Xenopus tropicalis: one gene and its partners. The protein of the gene in region 1 purifies or fractionates together with the protein of each later gene. This does not show direct contact. Links are inferred from orthologs where the notes say so. Each region holds a gene or a part of one and is shown in the gene's direction. Other genes may lie near its edges.

The links.
Region 2: the proteins of nod1 (region 1) and ripk2 purify together in Homo sapiens (affinity purification with western blotting; 4 studies listed by BioGRID and IntAct, with this or other methods). This does not show direct contact. The link is inferred for Xenopus tropicalis from reciprocal best matches to the Homo sapiens genes NOD1 and RIPK2.
Region 3: the proteins of nod1 (region 1) and sugt1 purify together in Homo sapiens (affinity purification with western blotting; 3 studies listed by BioGRID and IntAct, with this or other methods). This does not show direct contact. The link is inferred for Xenopus tropicalis from reciprocal best matches to the Homo sapiens genes NOD1 and SUGT1.

The regions. Positions count from the first base shown.
Region 1 is NC_030682.2:51,348,773-51,352,845, forward strand, and holds the end of nod1 (nucleotide-binding oligomerization domain-containing protein 1), read left to right. Parts: intron 1-295; coding exon 296-379; intron 380-1,804; coding exon 1,805-1,888; intron 1,889-2,577; coding exon 2,578-2,650; 3' UTR 2,651-3,013; downstream 3,014-4,073. UniProt on the Homo sapiens protein: Pattern recognition receptor (PRR) that detects bacterial peptidoglycan fragments and other danger signals and thus participates in both innate and adaptive immune responses.
Region 2 is NC_030682.2:126,031,882-126,037,134, forward strand, and holds the start of ripk2 (receptor-interacting serine/threonine-protein kinase 2), read left to right. Parts: upstream 1-1,759; 5' UTR 1,760-2,202; coding exon 2,203-2,462; intron 2,463-3,599; exon of another isoform or gene 3,600-3,875; intron 3,876-5,253.
Region 3 is NC_030678.2:132,229,215-132,234,436, reverse strand, and holds the start of sugt1 (protein SGT1 homolog), read left to right. Parts: upstream 1-1,728; 5' UTR 1,729-1,763; intron 1,764-5,222. UniProt on the Homo sapiens protein: May play a role in ubiquitination and subsequent proteasomal degradation of target proteins.

The DNA.
Region 1 (4,073 bases):
AGCCTATAGGGCAGTTCTTGTAAGACAATGGGGTGAATGCTCCCCCGGATACTCCTTCAACTAAAGGACAGTTAGATTGTTGTTTTATACAGCTGTAATGTTGAACTAAACCTGTGTTATTTTAATTGGTAGTTTAAAGGTTTCTTTTTCATTATGACTGTTTTCAGGTTTCCATTTTATATACTTGACACCTAACAATTTGGCAGATGCTTTAAATGCTTTGCATTTTGGCTGAAAGTTCAATAATCTAAGTAGTAATACGCCCCTGGTGCCCTTTTTTCTCTTATGAATCCAGGCTCACTGAGAACAAGCTGACAGATGAAGCGGCAGAGCACTTTGCCAAGATGGTAAAGGTTAACAAAACCCTCCGGCACCTGTGGTAAGTTATCTCTCAGAGAGGCTCAGTGACTGATGTAAACTTAATTATCTGCTGCTTTTACCATTTACATAGCCATTGCCAGATGTTTCACTAACATATTATGTTCATAAAATGCTGGTGGTTGGGGCTGTATTTAAGCTATACAGAGAACCTGTAATTAACAGGGTTGGCTCTGACCCAATATACTTCTTGGGTGCATAAAATCCACATTTACTTTTGGTTCTGATTTTCAATTTTTTTTGTATCAATAATAACACATTGATGTGTTAAAGAAGAGTGGGACAAAATGCAAAAATGCTGTCTGTTTTGTTATGTTTCTAGGGACACAGAATATATAGGCTTTGCTGAATGACTATATAACTACTCCCTTCTCCAGATTCTACCTAAAGTGGCTCAAGGCTGGTCCTGCCCAGAAAAGGGCATAATAGCAGCTGACCATTGCCAACCCCTCCCTTATGCCAAGTAGCCCAAAAAAGTAAGCACAGTGTTAGAGGTGCAGGGGTACCAACTTGTAGGCATGCCCCAGATATATGAACTCTAAACTGTGTGCTCTACAAACATAAAACCTCTACATTTTGGTTAAAAAGCTTTTGTTCTTTTTTTATTGCTCTCTTTGCAATCACAGCTTCCCAAAGAACTGGAGTGAGCAATATCCAGAATATGTGAAGGCAGTCTCCTGAAATGCAGAATGTAGTCCTGAGTTTGCCCAGCTGGTGGAGCTAGAGCACAGGGCTTCCAATAGACATTGCCTCTACAGACACTGTTGGAATGATACCCTGGTGACTTTGGTGCATGTGGGTACATTATTCACTGTAAGGAGTAAACCCTTTGCACCCAGTTCCACAGGCAGAATAATTTGCTCATGACAACAGCTGATGAAAGGGGGCAAAGTTTATTGGGAGAAAAAACTGGGGGTTTTTGCATCTGGTTTTTGCTCTTTACCTTTAGCAAATGAGCCCTAGTGCCAGTATTCACTTATGTAGATGCATTGTAACAGAAATGAACATTTTAACAGTCAGGGTGGATATATATATATATATCATGTATATATGAGTATTATTGCAGCCATTCTCCTCTGGGTCTCCAGGAACATATTTATAACCTGAAAGGGCCATACTTCTCTACTGGTGCTAACACTCTCCTGCTTTTAGCACCACCAAGACAAATGTCTATCACATTTTAAATAATTTAAAATAATTTGTATTAATTTATATAGTTATTGCCCAACCCATAACTCATAAATTACGTTATATGGGGGGGGGGTCTTCATTGAGGCCACCCTGTGTTTCTTTAGCAGCCTTGTGTTGCACGGAGGAAAGGGTTCCTTTGGTGCTGGAGCTTTACTTTCTTGTTCCTGCTAATGTTCTACACTTGACAGTTATAAACTTAATATGAATAAAGCATGCGGTAATCTGTTTCTGTCAGGCTTGTGAATAATCAGATCACAAATCATGGAGCTGAACTGCTGTCCGAGGCCCTGCAGCACAACACTGTAATGGAGGAGATCTGGTAAGTGCTTATTGTAGGGCCCTCCTTTTATTTGTATTTTATAATGTGCTCCTCATTCATAATCAGGCACCAGGAACACCAGTGGGGTAAAATGTCCCTAAGGTAAATTCATCTCATATTTTGATGTAACAATTTCAGAAGAATTCTTCTCCTGTTCTGCAATGTTTTATTTTCACTGACATGTGGGGAATGCTTCAGCTTCAGTATTTCTTGCCCGCAGTGCTGCTGATTAGCACATAGGCATTGCTTAATAATATATTAGGGATGGCCTCCTGAGCTTCTGTGCTTAGCTAGAAACCTCATAACTGATCCCCACATACTGGTGCCCAATCATTATTGTCAGACATTTTTGTAGAGCAGAGAGGATGCAGAGCTGTGGCAAAGTGTTCACATAGCTTGGGGCTAATTTATTTAACACTGGTCAAATTTGCACCTGGTAGTAACCCATGGCAACTGATGAAAGAGCTGAAGACCTAATGCAGATTCTCCTAGAATATCACTATCTACATTATACTGAGGCAAAACATCCCTTAAAAGGGAAAATGTACCTAATGTTTTTACTTTTAAGGAATACAGTGTGTCTTACCTATAGTCAACCTGCTAGAGCCAGGCTATGCAAAACTGACAGTACTGAACCTGCAGGCAAGAACCGATAGAATATTTAAACTCTTTCTACCTTTGCCTTTCAGTTTACAAGGAAACCCACTCACACTAGGGGAGAATCAACCATTTGAGCAGAACTCCAGGATCTTTTGTATCTGATTAACTTGTGTAAAAGAACAAGAAACTGAGGCCCAAAGACTGTAAGACAAAGGGAATGAAGTGCAGCTGCTTAGTGGGGAAAACCTTGGAGCCGTTGTTGGAATGAACTACAAACTGCATAATATACGCTATATTATTTCTATACAGGGAGTATCAAGCTGTTGAAAAACAAGCAAAGCTCATGCCCTCTGGTTCCAGCCACTGCACATTAAACGTTAAGCCTTTGGGCATTAGATTAAGGGGCAAATGCATCCAAAGCTCAAAATAGATCATGACAAAGTTGACAGTTCTGAATGTGAACTGAATACAGTTGTTAGAACTACAAACCATGATGGGATCAGGTAATAATGGTTGTTACATTAATCATCTGGTAAGTGCTTTTTCATAACAGTATTATTATTTCTTGGGTTGCTGTTACTTGAAGTTTGGGGTAGAGTCCTGCATCAGGTGAGGTACCTGGGGATTACCTACAAAGCAGTCAGTTTCAGGTAGAAAGTTCTCTTATTTCTGTCCTTCCGGGCAGTCTGCGGGTACCCCAGCTATGGTGCAGGAGTGGTCCCTCCTAGCTTCCCCTCACCTAGGTCACAGCTTCCTCTTACCCTTCTGCTCTGGCTCCAGAGTGACGTCACTTCCCTTATACAGTGACATCACTTCCAGTTTCGCGGGTCCCAGGTCAGACCCGTAAAACTGGAAGATAAGGTTTGCAGTCCAGGTAGGGTAGTGGGTCTGGGTAGGGGGACTTATTGGGTGGTGGGTCTGGGGAAATATAGAACAGAGATTTAGCTTGAGTTGCCCTTTATATTGGATTGACGTACTGAGACCATATCCCAGGGCAGTCCTTTCTCATATGTTAATTGAAGTCAAACTCCTTTTTGCTTTATACTGGAAAAGTCAGCTTTCCCTCAAAAGAGTCCCCCACACAATATGATACAAAATATATATGCACCCTCAGCCACTGTGTCGGGCTGATTGCAGGCACATTACGTGGAATTCAGCCCAAATCTGGAGAGCAGTTTTGCACCAAAATCCGCTTCATGTGCTACACCAGATCTAAAGCAGTGGCGCTGGCCGCAGGCACAACAATTACATTATTGACGTGTAAGGGCAGAGCTTCTCTGCTAGTTGAAATATGCTGATAATGCTATAGCCCTAAGTGTCTATGAAGGTTTTCATTCTTTCAGGTCATGACATATCTAATCTAAAGCAACTGGACTTGCTAAGTAACCATTAAAGACGTTTCACTACTCATCTGAGCAGCTTCTTAAGTTCAACTGACCTGAAGAAGCTGCTTGGACAGGTAGTGAAATATCTTAAACAGGGCAACAATTAAAAATGAAACTTTCTATATTCTACATCCTGATTCGAAAGATCAAAGTCATACAAATTAACAGCTCATTGAGTAGCCCTCTGTATAATGAGCTGC
Region 2 (5,253 bases), about 75 Mb from region 1:
CCGACGTTTCGGTCCCTTTTGGGACCTTGAAAAAAAATATATATATATACAGGTATGGGACATGGATGTGTCCAAAATGAGTGGGATCTGGGATTTTCCAGATAAAGGATCTTTCCGTAATTTAGATCCTCATAACTTCCACTAAAAAATCATTTAAACTTTAAATAAACCCAATAGGACTGTTTTGCCTCCAATAAGGATTAATTATATTTAAGTTGGGATGAAATACAAGGTACTGGTTTATTACTATAGAGAAAAAGAAAATCTTGCTTAAAAAGTTGAATTAGTTGGAGTTCCCATTGGAGTCTATGGGAAAGGGTCGTCATGTTATTCTGCACTTTCTGGATAACTGGTTCCTGAATAAGAGATCCCATTCCTGTATAACCATCTTTACTACTCCAACTCTGTACAGCAACTGTGGCTGAATGACGAGCCCCCTGAAGCTGAGCTCTTGCTGGAGAGTATCATTTGAATCCAATCTTTTAGTAACCACTATCCTTTTACTAATTAAAATTGCATGTATGTTTTCCATTTAATGTGGCACTATTGCTGCTGAATTGCCAGGTATGTGGTTCTAATAAAGTATGTGAACTCTGAGCCAGGCACAGCTTGTTTTGCAGCACTTGCTACTTATTTCTCAGGCCTCCTATAAAGTATGTCAATAATCCGGACAGAATAAATATTGACAAAGAGAAAGATAAAGTAATACCTGGTGAGGTATGGTATACAATGACAGGGCTCAGCACCTGCGCTGTCAAATGATGCAAGTGTTATTATGCTCCAGATTATTTTATGGTTAATCACATGAAAAATTGGGTTTGTTGCTCTCTGCCCAGTTCGTCGGGTTTAAAAATCCAGCAATCTGCGCAAAGAAGTTGCATCAGGCTCAGCCCTGTCCTCAGTAAGTACAACCCCCCAATGTGGGCTGTGCCTCCTTCTGCTCCCTAATTTGAGCATGAAATGGAGTGCATGTTGGGGGTGGGAGCTGCCTCTTTTGAATCTAAAGTGGCCTAACGCAGGCAGCACTAGATTCAAACAGCAGTCCCCAGGTCTTTGGCTAGAAAGTGGAGCACAGAAGCATGCAGCTATTGGGCAAAGTGCAAAAAAATGGTCTTTTTCACACTTTGCACGCTGCATGGGGCATTGAAAATGACCCCTCAGTTTTTTCCAATTGAACTGAATGTGGCTTAATGGGAAAATATGGAACTGAAGTAGGAAGAGAAACTTTTCTCATCAAATTGAATCTGGCTCCAGCTGTCTGGGGGGATGCTGGGAGTTGTATATCAACAACAGCTGAAGGGCCACAGGCTGGGCATTCCTGATTTGTGGTCCCTTAGTGGACTCCCATAGTGGAGATGGTGCCCCTTTCGCTGTTATAAAAGTAATTAGCGTGTGATTTTTTTGGGCACAAGTCACCCCTCTTGATGCAGACTGCTATAAGAATCCTGGAATTAACCCATGTTTAAGGTGGCAGAAGGTCCTGGGCTTCCTTTAACGAATGGGGGCTCAGCGCTATGCGCTATGCAGAAGTGCAAGGAGCAGGTGCCATGTGAGTAATGCAAGTGCCACTGTAGTCACGTGGAAGTGCAATTTCCTCAGCAGAATGGCTGCTACTTGTGGGGCAAGGTGCAAAAGGGTTTCCGTTTTTTGTACTTTCCCTATTGCCCCACAAAATAAGCTCTCAAATATAAAGTCTACCAGACAGATGGCAGAATCTAGTGCACCCTTTGTGCTGTTCCTTTTCTCACTTCCTCCCCTTCCCTCCCCCAGGGCCTGTCGCTACCAGGAAGGAGTGTGGCTCAGGCAGCCGGGGCTGCTGTGGTACAAAGGTGTGCAGCAGCAGCAGCAGCAGCAGCTCCTCTCAGCAATGACTGACTCCCAGCAATGACTGACTCTCAGCAATGACTGACTCCCAGCAATGACTGACGCTCAGCGTGCAACTCATCCCGTAGCTTCTTCCTCTTATTTGCCAATATTCTTTTAATGCCAAACTTTTTTCTAGGAAAGTTTGTGGGTGGGAGAACTGGAACTTCTGCTTTACTTTTCTTTCACTTTCACCTAGTGGAAAGGGAGCTGCGGCAGAAACAAGCTGGGGAGGCGGGCTGCCCTCTCCTTCCGGGAAAAGCAAACATACTTTTATATTCTGTGCTGTAGTCGTTCCGGCAGCCCTTCCCTGGCTTCTGATAGTTACGGAGAGACAGAATGAGCAGCGGCGATGGCAGCCGGGGATCTGCGTCCACTTATCCATCGGGCACTCGCTATTCTCTAAACCTTGAAGAAGGTATAAGCGTTCCGGCTGCCAGTATCAGCAGTTCCCTGCAGTGCATCCCATATCAGAAACTCACAGACCTGAAGTTCATTAATAAAGGAGCTTATGGGACCGTACACAGTGCTTGCCACTCTGATTGGAGGGTGAGAGTTGCTGTGAAGTTCTTCCCGACAGAGCGCCATCTGGTGGAGAGGTGAGTGACTAAACTGTGAGCTTGCGGTGGGCACTAATATTCAGTTATTTGTATTATTTGCTAGTGCTACATGGCAGTCAACATGCAGTATTCCATATAGGTAGTTAAACCCATGTATAGAAATTTCACTCTGTGCAATATCATTTTTTTATATGTGGGTGTGTGTTTTAACAGCCCTCCAAAGCCCTCAGCAAATAAAATGAAGGCATGTAGGAATGTTTATGAAGGATTCCATGTAGATCCAAGGGTGGGAACATTACATTACACTATAGCCATAATTTACATTTGATACAAGTGCTAGGGCACTAAGGGGGAATGATTTGCTCCTCCATAAAGCACTTGTGCCAAATACCATGTTTGGTTAATGTTGCAAGTGAAAGTTAGTGCAGAACTACTGCAGGAATCAGTGGGTAAAAAAACAACATATTTGTAATATATATCTCACTGACATAAGAAAACAGTGACGTGTAAAATGTTGGGCCCTCTTCCATTTGTCCAGTTATAAAAACTGTTTTTGCAAGGTCCCTGGCCCAATATACCTTATTGGACCTAAATATTTATTAGGAATTGTGTCACTTTTTGACAACCGCAGAACTAAAGAGACCCAACAACCATGGGCTCCTCTAAGCTATTGAGTAAGGATGTGAAAATGAAGCTGACGCCTACAAAGCAGGGAAATGCTATCAAACGATTGCAAAATGCTTCCAGCTCACGATTTCTGTAATGTCAAGAAATTGTAGTTTAAGGGGAACTGTGGAAGGCAAAACCGAATCTGGAAGACCAAGACAGCTTTCAGAAAGTACTGCTTGTATACTGGCCAGAATGTCAACACCAAACCCTCATATGACCGCAAAGAACCTGCAGGAAGGTTTGGCCAATCCAGTAGTTGCACTGTTCCACAGTTCAACATTGAACCCACCCCCCCCAGTAACTGTCCTTTAAGCTGAAAAAAAGCACCTTATAAAAGAAAAAAATCCAAACTATTTGGTGAATTTGCCATTTAAAATCAACGCCAGCTTTCATTTCTCCCATATATGCAAACTATTGGCAGGAATAAACATATAACAAACTGAACAGGGGTTTTCCAGCATTCAGCAACATAAAACTTTTTCATGCCTTATTTCACTTTTTTTTCAGCATTTCCCGACCACTTTCTGAATCATCCTCAGGCCTAAAGGACTTTGGGGAAGCAGGACTGTTTGTTTTGCCCATGCTGGTTAAACAGTTACTGTATACAGGCAGTTATCTTTATGTGTCAGTCTTCATTCCTCAGCATAACAGTCATTCCATGAGGCCGGTTATCACCAGCTTTGTTTTTTCTTAAACGCTGACTGTCACATTTCTTAGCCTTGCCCATGTGTTCAACCACAGATTCAAGCAATTGCCATTGAATCCAGTCGGGTGCAATTCCAGGTAATTTATCACACCCCCAGAGCTATTAAACATGCTATTAAAATAAATCACGCACACAGATCTTGTGCATGTCCCACCTGTATGACACCTTCAAGATCCCTAGTGCAACTTCCATGCTAAAGGACACAAATTTTGTATCGACATTGGTGGAAAGGTATTTTCAGGGAGAAAAGCTGCATTGTGGGAAACATGGTTAATTGTGCTTATCTTTTGCACTCACTTTTTGCACTTACTCTGGGACCCCTTATCCGGAAACCCATTATCCAGAAAGTTCCGAATTACGGAAAGCCCATCTCCCATAGACTCAATTTTAATCAAATAATTCACATTATTAAAAATGGTTTCCTTTTTTCTCTGTAATAATAAAACAGTACCTTGTACGTGATCCCAACTAAGAGCCAAAACAATACTACTGGGTTTAAATACTGTTGAAATAATTTTCTTAGTAGACTTAAGGTAGGAGACCTGAATTATGGAAGACCCTTATCTGGAAATCCCCAGGTCCCGAGCATTCTGGATAATGGGTCCCATACCTGTATATCAAAGTAATAAAAATATAATGTACTGTTGTCCTGCACTGGTAAAGCTGATGTGTTTGCTTCAGGGAGACTACTATAGTTTATATAAATACTCTGCTGTGTAGCCATGGCGGCAGCCATTCAAGTGGGAAAAGAAGAAAAGGCACAGGTTACATAGCAGACAACAGATAAGCTCTGTAAAATACTATGGTGTTTACAGAGCTTATCTGCTATGCAACCTGTGCCAAATAGCTGTATTTCAGTTTGAATGGCTGCCCTGATGGCTACACATCAGCTTAGTTTATATAAACTAAAGTCATCTTTCTGAAGCAAACACTCCTCTTATACCAGTGCAGGGCAATAGTACATTATATTTGAATTACTTTGATACACTTTCATTTTTTGGTGTTACTGGTCCTTTAACGTCCTGACTGTTTGGCATGTGGCAGTGCAAAATTGAGTACAAAAGGAAGGACTGGGTTCAAATATTGGTTCATTGTTATGCAAGTTCTCTTGCAACAATGTCTGACCTTTCCCTCACTTTCTCTATTCTCTATTTTCTCTCATATGCCCTGTGGGTAATTACTGACATAATTTTGCATTGATGTACATGGCATTTTTTTAGGCATGGCTGTATTTACTGTATACCGTAGGGCCTGTGTCTAGGGCAGCAGCTTAAGGGGGTGGCCTGAGCTTCCTATATAGAAAAAATGGATTTACCCCCCAGTAATAATTAATTATATCTTAGTTGGGATCAAGTAAAAGCTACTGTTTTATTATTACAGAGAAAAAGGAAATCATTTTTAAAAATTTGAATTATGTGCTTCCCATAATTCGGAACTTTGTGGACAACAGGTTTC
Region 3 (5,222 bases), on another chromosome or scaffold:
CCTATGCTCGTCATTGCTGGTGGCAATATCGGCAGAAGATCCACTCAGTGGTCTGCAGAGCGGTTCACAAAAGTAAAATGTATGCAAAATGCATCCCCAGACAAACTGAAATAAAGCAAGGTTTTATTACATTTCTAAATAGGCTAGCAATATCCATCTTGCATTTACTTTTATTGCAGAAATGTTTCACAAAATGAGCAGTAGACAGCAGTGACATCTGGTGGTCTTCAGAGGCAACTACTGTGAAAATGAAACAATATAAACTCATTAGAAGTGTAAAGTATGTATGTATGTTTGTATTTATATTGTGCTACGCAGCACTGTACAGCAGAACAATAAATTAATAACAAGTTGGGAGCCACTACATTAATAAAGAGTACAGTAATAAATACAAATACATAAAAAGTACAGTTGCATTAAAAATTCCACAGAGCTAAGAGACAAGAGGATGAAGGTCCTTCTCCCGTAGAGCTTACAATCTAAATGGGAGAGTAATTTACAGACACAAATAGGAGGGTCTTCTAATAATAAAATAAAAATACTTTACCGAGAACCTGGTTTGGCTTTGTACCAATAATTTGGTTAGTAGCGCATATAAACTGGGCTGGCATTAATATTATATCTGATAGAGAAGAAAGGAATTGTACGGTACAATGAATGCTGCCGCAATTCATTCCGACATAATCGTGCACTTGCGACAGAATCTGCAGTGTGCCATAGACTTATGTACTTGGATCAACTATAGGATTGAAGCTGCCAGCAATAAGAGGCACAGGTAGGTTGCCACCTATTCAGTATTTTACAAGTGGATAGCAAAATGATGCTTGATGCTGGGAAAAAAGTTGAAAATATAAGAAGGCTGGTACTTTTTCCAGGTGCCAGTCCCTAGGCACAGGTACAATATAAAGAAGAAGCAAAGCCTATTATAAAATAAATGCTCACTATACCTTCATTTTGTATTTAAGACCTGAACATATTTATTTTCTCCCCTAAGCTTCTATTATTTTTTTTTATTATTAACATTTATTTATAAAGCGCCAACATATTCCGCAGCGCTGTACAATAAGTGGGTTACATACATTGGACATACAGAGTAACATATGAAGCAATCAATAACCCATACAAGAGGTGAAGAGGGCCCTGCCCAAAAGAGCTTACAATCTACAAGAAGAGCTTACAATCTTCTATAAGGTATCCCTGGAAATGGCCTCTAAGACTGACTTACAACAAACTTATTGTTATCACCTCCCTTAGTCACTCCTTTGCCATATAATCCCATTACAAGAAGCCAGAAAGTGAATGTGACACGACTTGAACTTTATTAGGGCATGTTGTCAGGTCAATTCAGCTATAAGCTTGCTTCTAAATGTGTCATTGCTCCTCCTGACCTGCAGATGCCGCTCTGCTTCATTTCCCCGCTCTGGCCTTACGCGTTCCCTGCTCATCCCCTCTGCAAGTTCCCGGCCAGTCTAGAACTTTCCCCCTACGGAGTCACGGTGAGGGACAGTTTCTGCGGCGCGTTGTTGTTTGGCATTCCCTGCGGTCCGGCCTGGGGATTCACTGAGCTGCAGTTGGAGCGATCTGTTTGCTGTGTGTAACACGTACAGGTATGGGCTGTGTGTAACACGTACAGGTATGGGCTGTGTGTAACACGTACAGGTATGGGCTGTGTGTAGCACGTACAGGTATGGGCTGTGTGTAGCACGTACAGGTATGGGCTGTGTGTAACACGTACAGGTATGGGCTGTGTGTAACACGTACAGGTATGGGCTGTGTGTAGCAGGTAGAAGTACTGCCTATGCTGCTGCCCAGCACCTGGGTCCGGGGGTTTCCGGGTCAGTGACAGCTGGGCAGTACGTACAGTTGATGGGTTTCCTTGAGCTGCGGGGGCTGCTGTTACAATACAGTGGGCGTGTGTCCCCTATTACAGTAGACACAATGTAGCATGGCATACGTTTTGTGCTGTTTTAATAGTTAGTAGTGTTTGTGTAACCTGCAGCCCCCTAGCAGTTGAAAATACAGTACTAGTAAATTGTAAATGGCTGTGCCTGCTGGGAGCTGTAGTGCTAGTACCTCAGGGCAATCTTAGCCCTTGCAACAGCATCAGGCATCACACTATCTTGTATTTCCCCTCACTTCCTACTGTGGCTGCTGGGAAATCCAGGCTCTGATGTCAGGGTATTGTCCTTCAGAAGGTTATTCTGCTGGGGGACAAGTATTGCAATAAAGTAATATACACAGTAACATGATGGCATTCCTTATGTTAAGAGATACAGGAGGAGGTCCCTGTCCTATAAAGATTACACTCCCATGTATTGGAGGCTTATGTTCTAAGTGTGTTAGGGATATGGCACAGCAGGTAAAACTCATCCCATAATCTCTTAGGAGCATATTTATCATACTGTGTAAAAAGTGGAGTGAAATATTCAACAACAATCAGTGATGTTGATCATAGCAGCCAATCAGATAGTTTGTTCGGTTTAATAACTGTTGAAATTGACTTGCTGATTGGTTAGCTTGGGCCGGTAATGCCTTACTCCACTTTTTACACAGCATAATAAATATACCCCTAAGTGTGACATCCCTATTGTTTGTACCTACTGTAATATATATATATATATATATATATATATATTTGTAATTTAATTTAGTATATTAATGCCTCCCATGTGTCTTAAACTAATTACTATAAAATGATTCACATAAATGATTGCAAAAGGTTTGCTGTGGAAGATTGTGAGCTCTTTTGGGCAGGGCCCTCTTTTCCTCTTGTATTGTGTTGGGTACTGGTTGCTTTTGGATGTGTTTTTGTATGCGTAATGTATATATCCATTTATTGTGCAATGTTGTAGAATACGTTCATGCTTCACAATTGTATTAATAATAATAAGTAAAATAGGGTTTTTTGTTTTTTTTTCAATGTTTCTCATAAGTACCTGGTACCATAGAATGCATGACAACGGCATAAAGTAGTCATAGTGGCAGTGTTTCTACAGTTATGGGTTTGTTTAGTTTGAAGCAGCACTGCATTTTTTCTGGAAACATATGGTGCAGTAAAATGATAGAGTCCAGCCACCGAAAGGGTTAAGGATAAGGCGTCTGACAGTTGTCAGTTTCCAAGGAGACGGTGTTTGGTGTATAGGAACCAGTATTGTTTGTATAGTGTTAGTGGGGGGAAAGAAAAGGCTCAAATGCTGGTAACTATGCAAGTACTAAAAGAAAAAGTACTTCCCTCCCCTTTCATTCAGTGCTTTGGGCCCACCTTCAACATGAGAGCATAAATTCTTAGTCTGTGAAAGTGTTCTTTTTAAACAGTATATGTTATATGGAATGGTATGGCTTTCACAGTGGACTTAGGGCTATAAAATACGATGCTACTCGTTACGGCTACAGAACGCCAGAAAATACTCTGCCATAGACAGTACTAAGAATTGTGCTAAAACACACATAGAGACAGTTATGCCAACTACTTGCTTAAAGGAGAAGGAAAGGCTTAGTCATTAGTGCCTTACCTTTTACTCCGGGCTGGTGCTCCTGTTAGGAGAAAACCACACCAGCCCGGGGTACCTGCGAGCAAGCGCCTCCTCTTCCTGCTCCTGTCTTCGCGCGCTTGCGCATTCGCAGTAGAGTGAAAAGTCGAACTTTAACAAAAAAGTCTGCTTTTCACTCTACTGCGCATGTGCCGGCCCAGGGATTCCGAAGACAAAAGAAATAAGGAAGAGCAAACGCTTGCTCGCAGGTACCCCAGGCTGGTGCGGTTTTCTCCGAACAGGGGCACCAGCCCGGGGTAAAAGCTAAGCAATTAAAGTCACTTGGGCCTAACATTTTGGCACCCCCAAGTGAGCTTGCTATTTACAGGGTCGGACTGGAGGGTGCAGGGCCCACCAGCCACGTCCCCTAACCCCCCCCCCAGGGCCCCCGCCTGACGTCCTCCCCGAGCGTGTATAAATTGAACGCGTCGGGGAGGAACAGTCAGTAGGGGGAGCGCCGGCAAAGGTCGGACTGGGCCGCTGGGGCCCACTAGGGCCGGGGCCCACCGGGATTTTTCCCGGTGTCCCGGCGGCCCAGTCCGACCCTGGCTATTCAAGTAAATGGTGGGGCAGTTCTGCAAATTACCCAGTCCTTCATTGCCCTAAAATATATTATAATTTATACCAGGATTTCTAGCAGCTGCCTGTGGCTATCAAATTGATTCTTATGGCACCTGTCCTGCCCAATGGCAGTTTTGTCATCTTTGAATTATACTTGTCATATGCAACATAAAATATAAAAAACACAACTTGCCTTATATATGGGTGGATTGATAACTATTTAACTAAATAACCTTTATTGCAAAATTGCAGTCTATACAAAGTAGTTGAAAACAAATTAGAAACAGTGAAAAAAAGGAGAAAAGAAATACAAGGTGGCATAGCTCCAAGTATCAGTCTATTTTGTTACAAAACTGTCTAGTTTAGGTGTGCTCACAGTGTGCACACCCTCTGAACTAGTCACTTTGGCACATATGGACTTGCAAAAGTCATATTGCGAAGACATCTCCTATGCTCTAACTGGGTCATTCCAGAACATTGTTAAGTGGAGCTGTTGATTTAGATGTCTTCTTTGGGTTATTGACATGCTGAAGCTTCCTAGCAAATGCTTAAAGGTTTTGTGACAAAATAGACTGATACTTAGAGCTATTCATGATTCCATTCTCCTTGACTAAAGCAACAGTTCCAAAAAGAAGCTTCAAAGCATGATGCTGCCCCCACCATGCTTCTCTGTGGATGTGGAGTTCTTGTGATGATGTGCTGTTCTTTATGGCCATATAGTTTAAGCTTGGCCTTATCAGACCATAATACATTTTTCCACATGGTTGTGGGAGACTGGGTTTACCTTTTTGCAAAGTTTAGCCCGGCTTGTATGTTTTTCTTTGTGAGTAAAGGCTTTTGGGGCGAAGACAGTTGTCGCAACTTTTAACTAAGACCGTTACGGCAACTTTTCGCCCATAGACGATAATGTCCGTTGCGGCGACTAATCTCAACTTTTCAAAAAGTTGGGTCGACTAATCGCCCTGTGTGTCCTCGCCCTTAGTCTTGTTACCCTACCCCACAACCTAGACATATGAAGAGTACGAGTGACTGTTGTCACATATAGGGAACAACCAGTGCTTGCCAAGAAATCCTGCAGCTACTTTAATGTTTCTGTAGGTCTCTTGATGGCTTCCCCGACCAGTTTTCTCA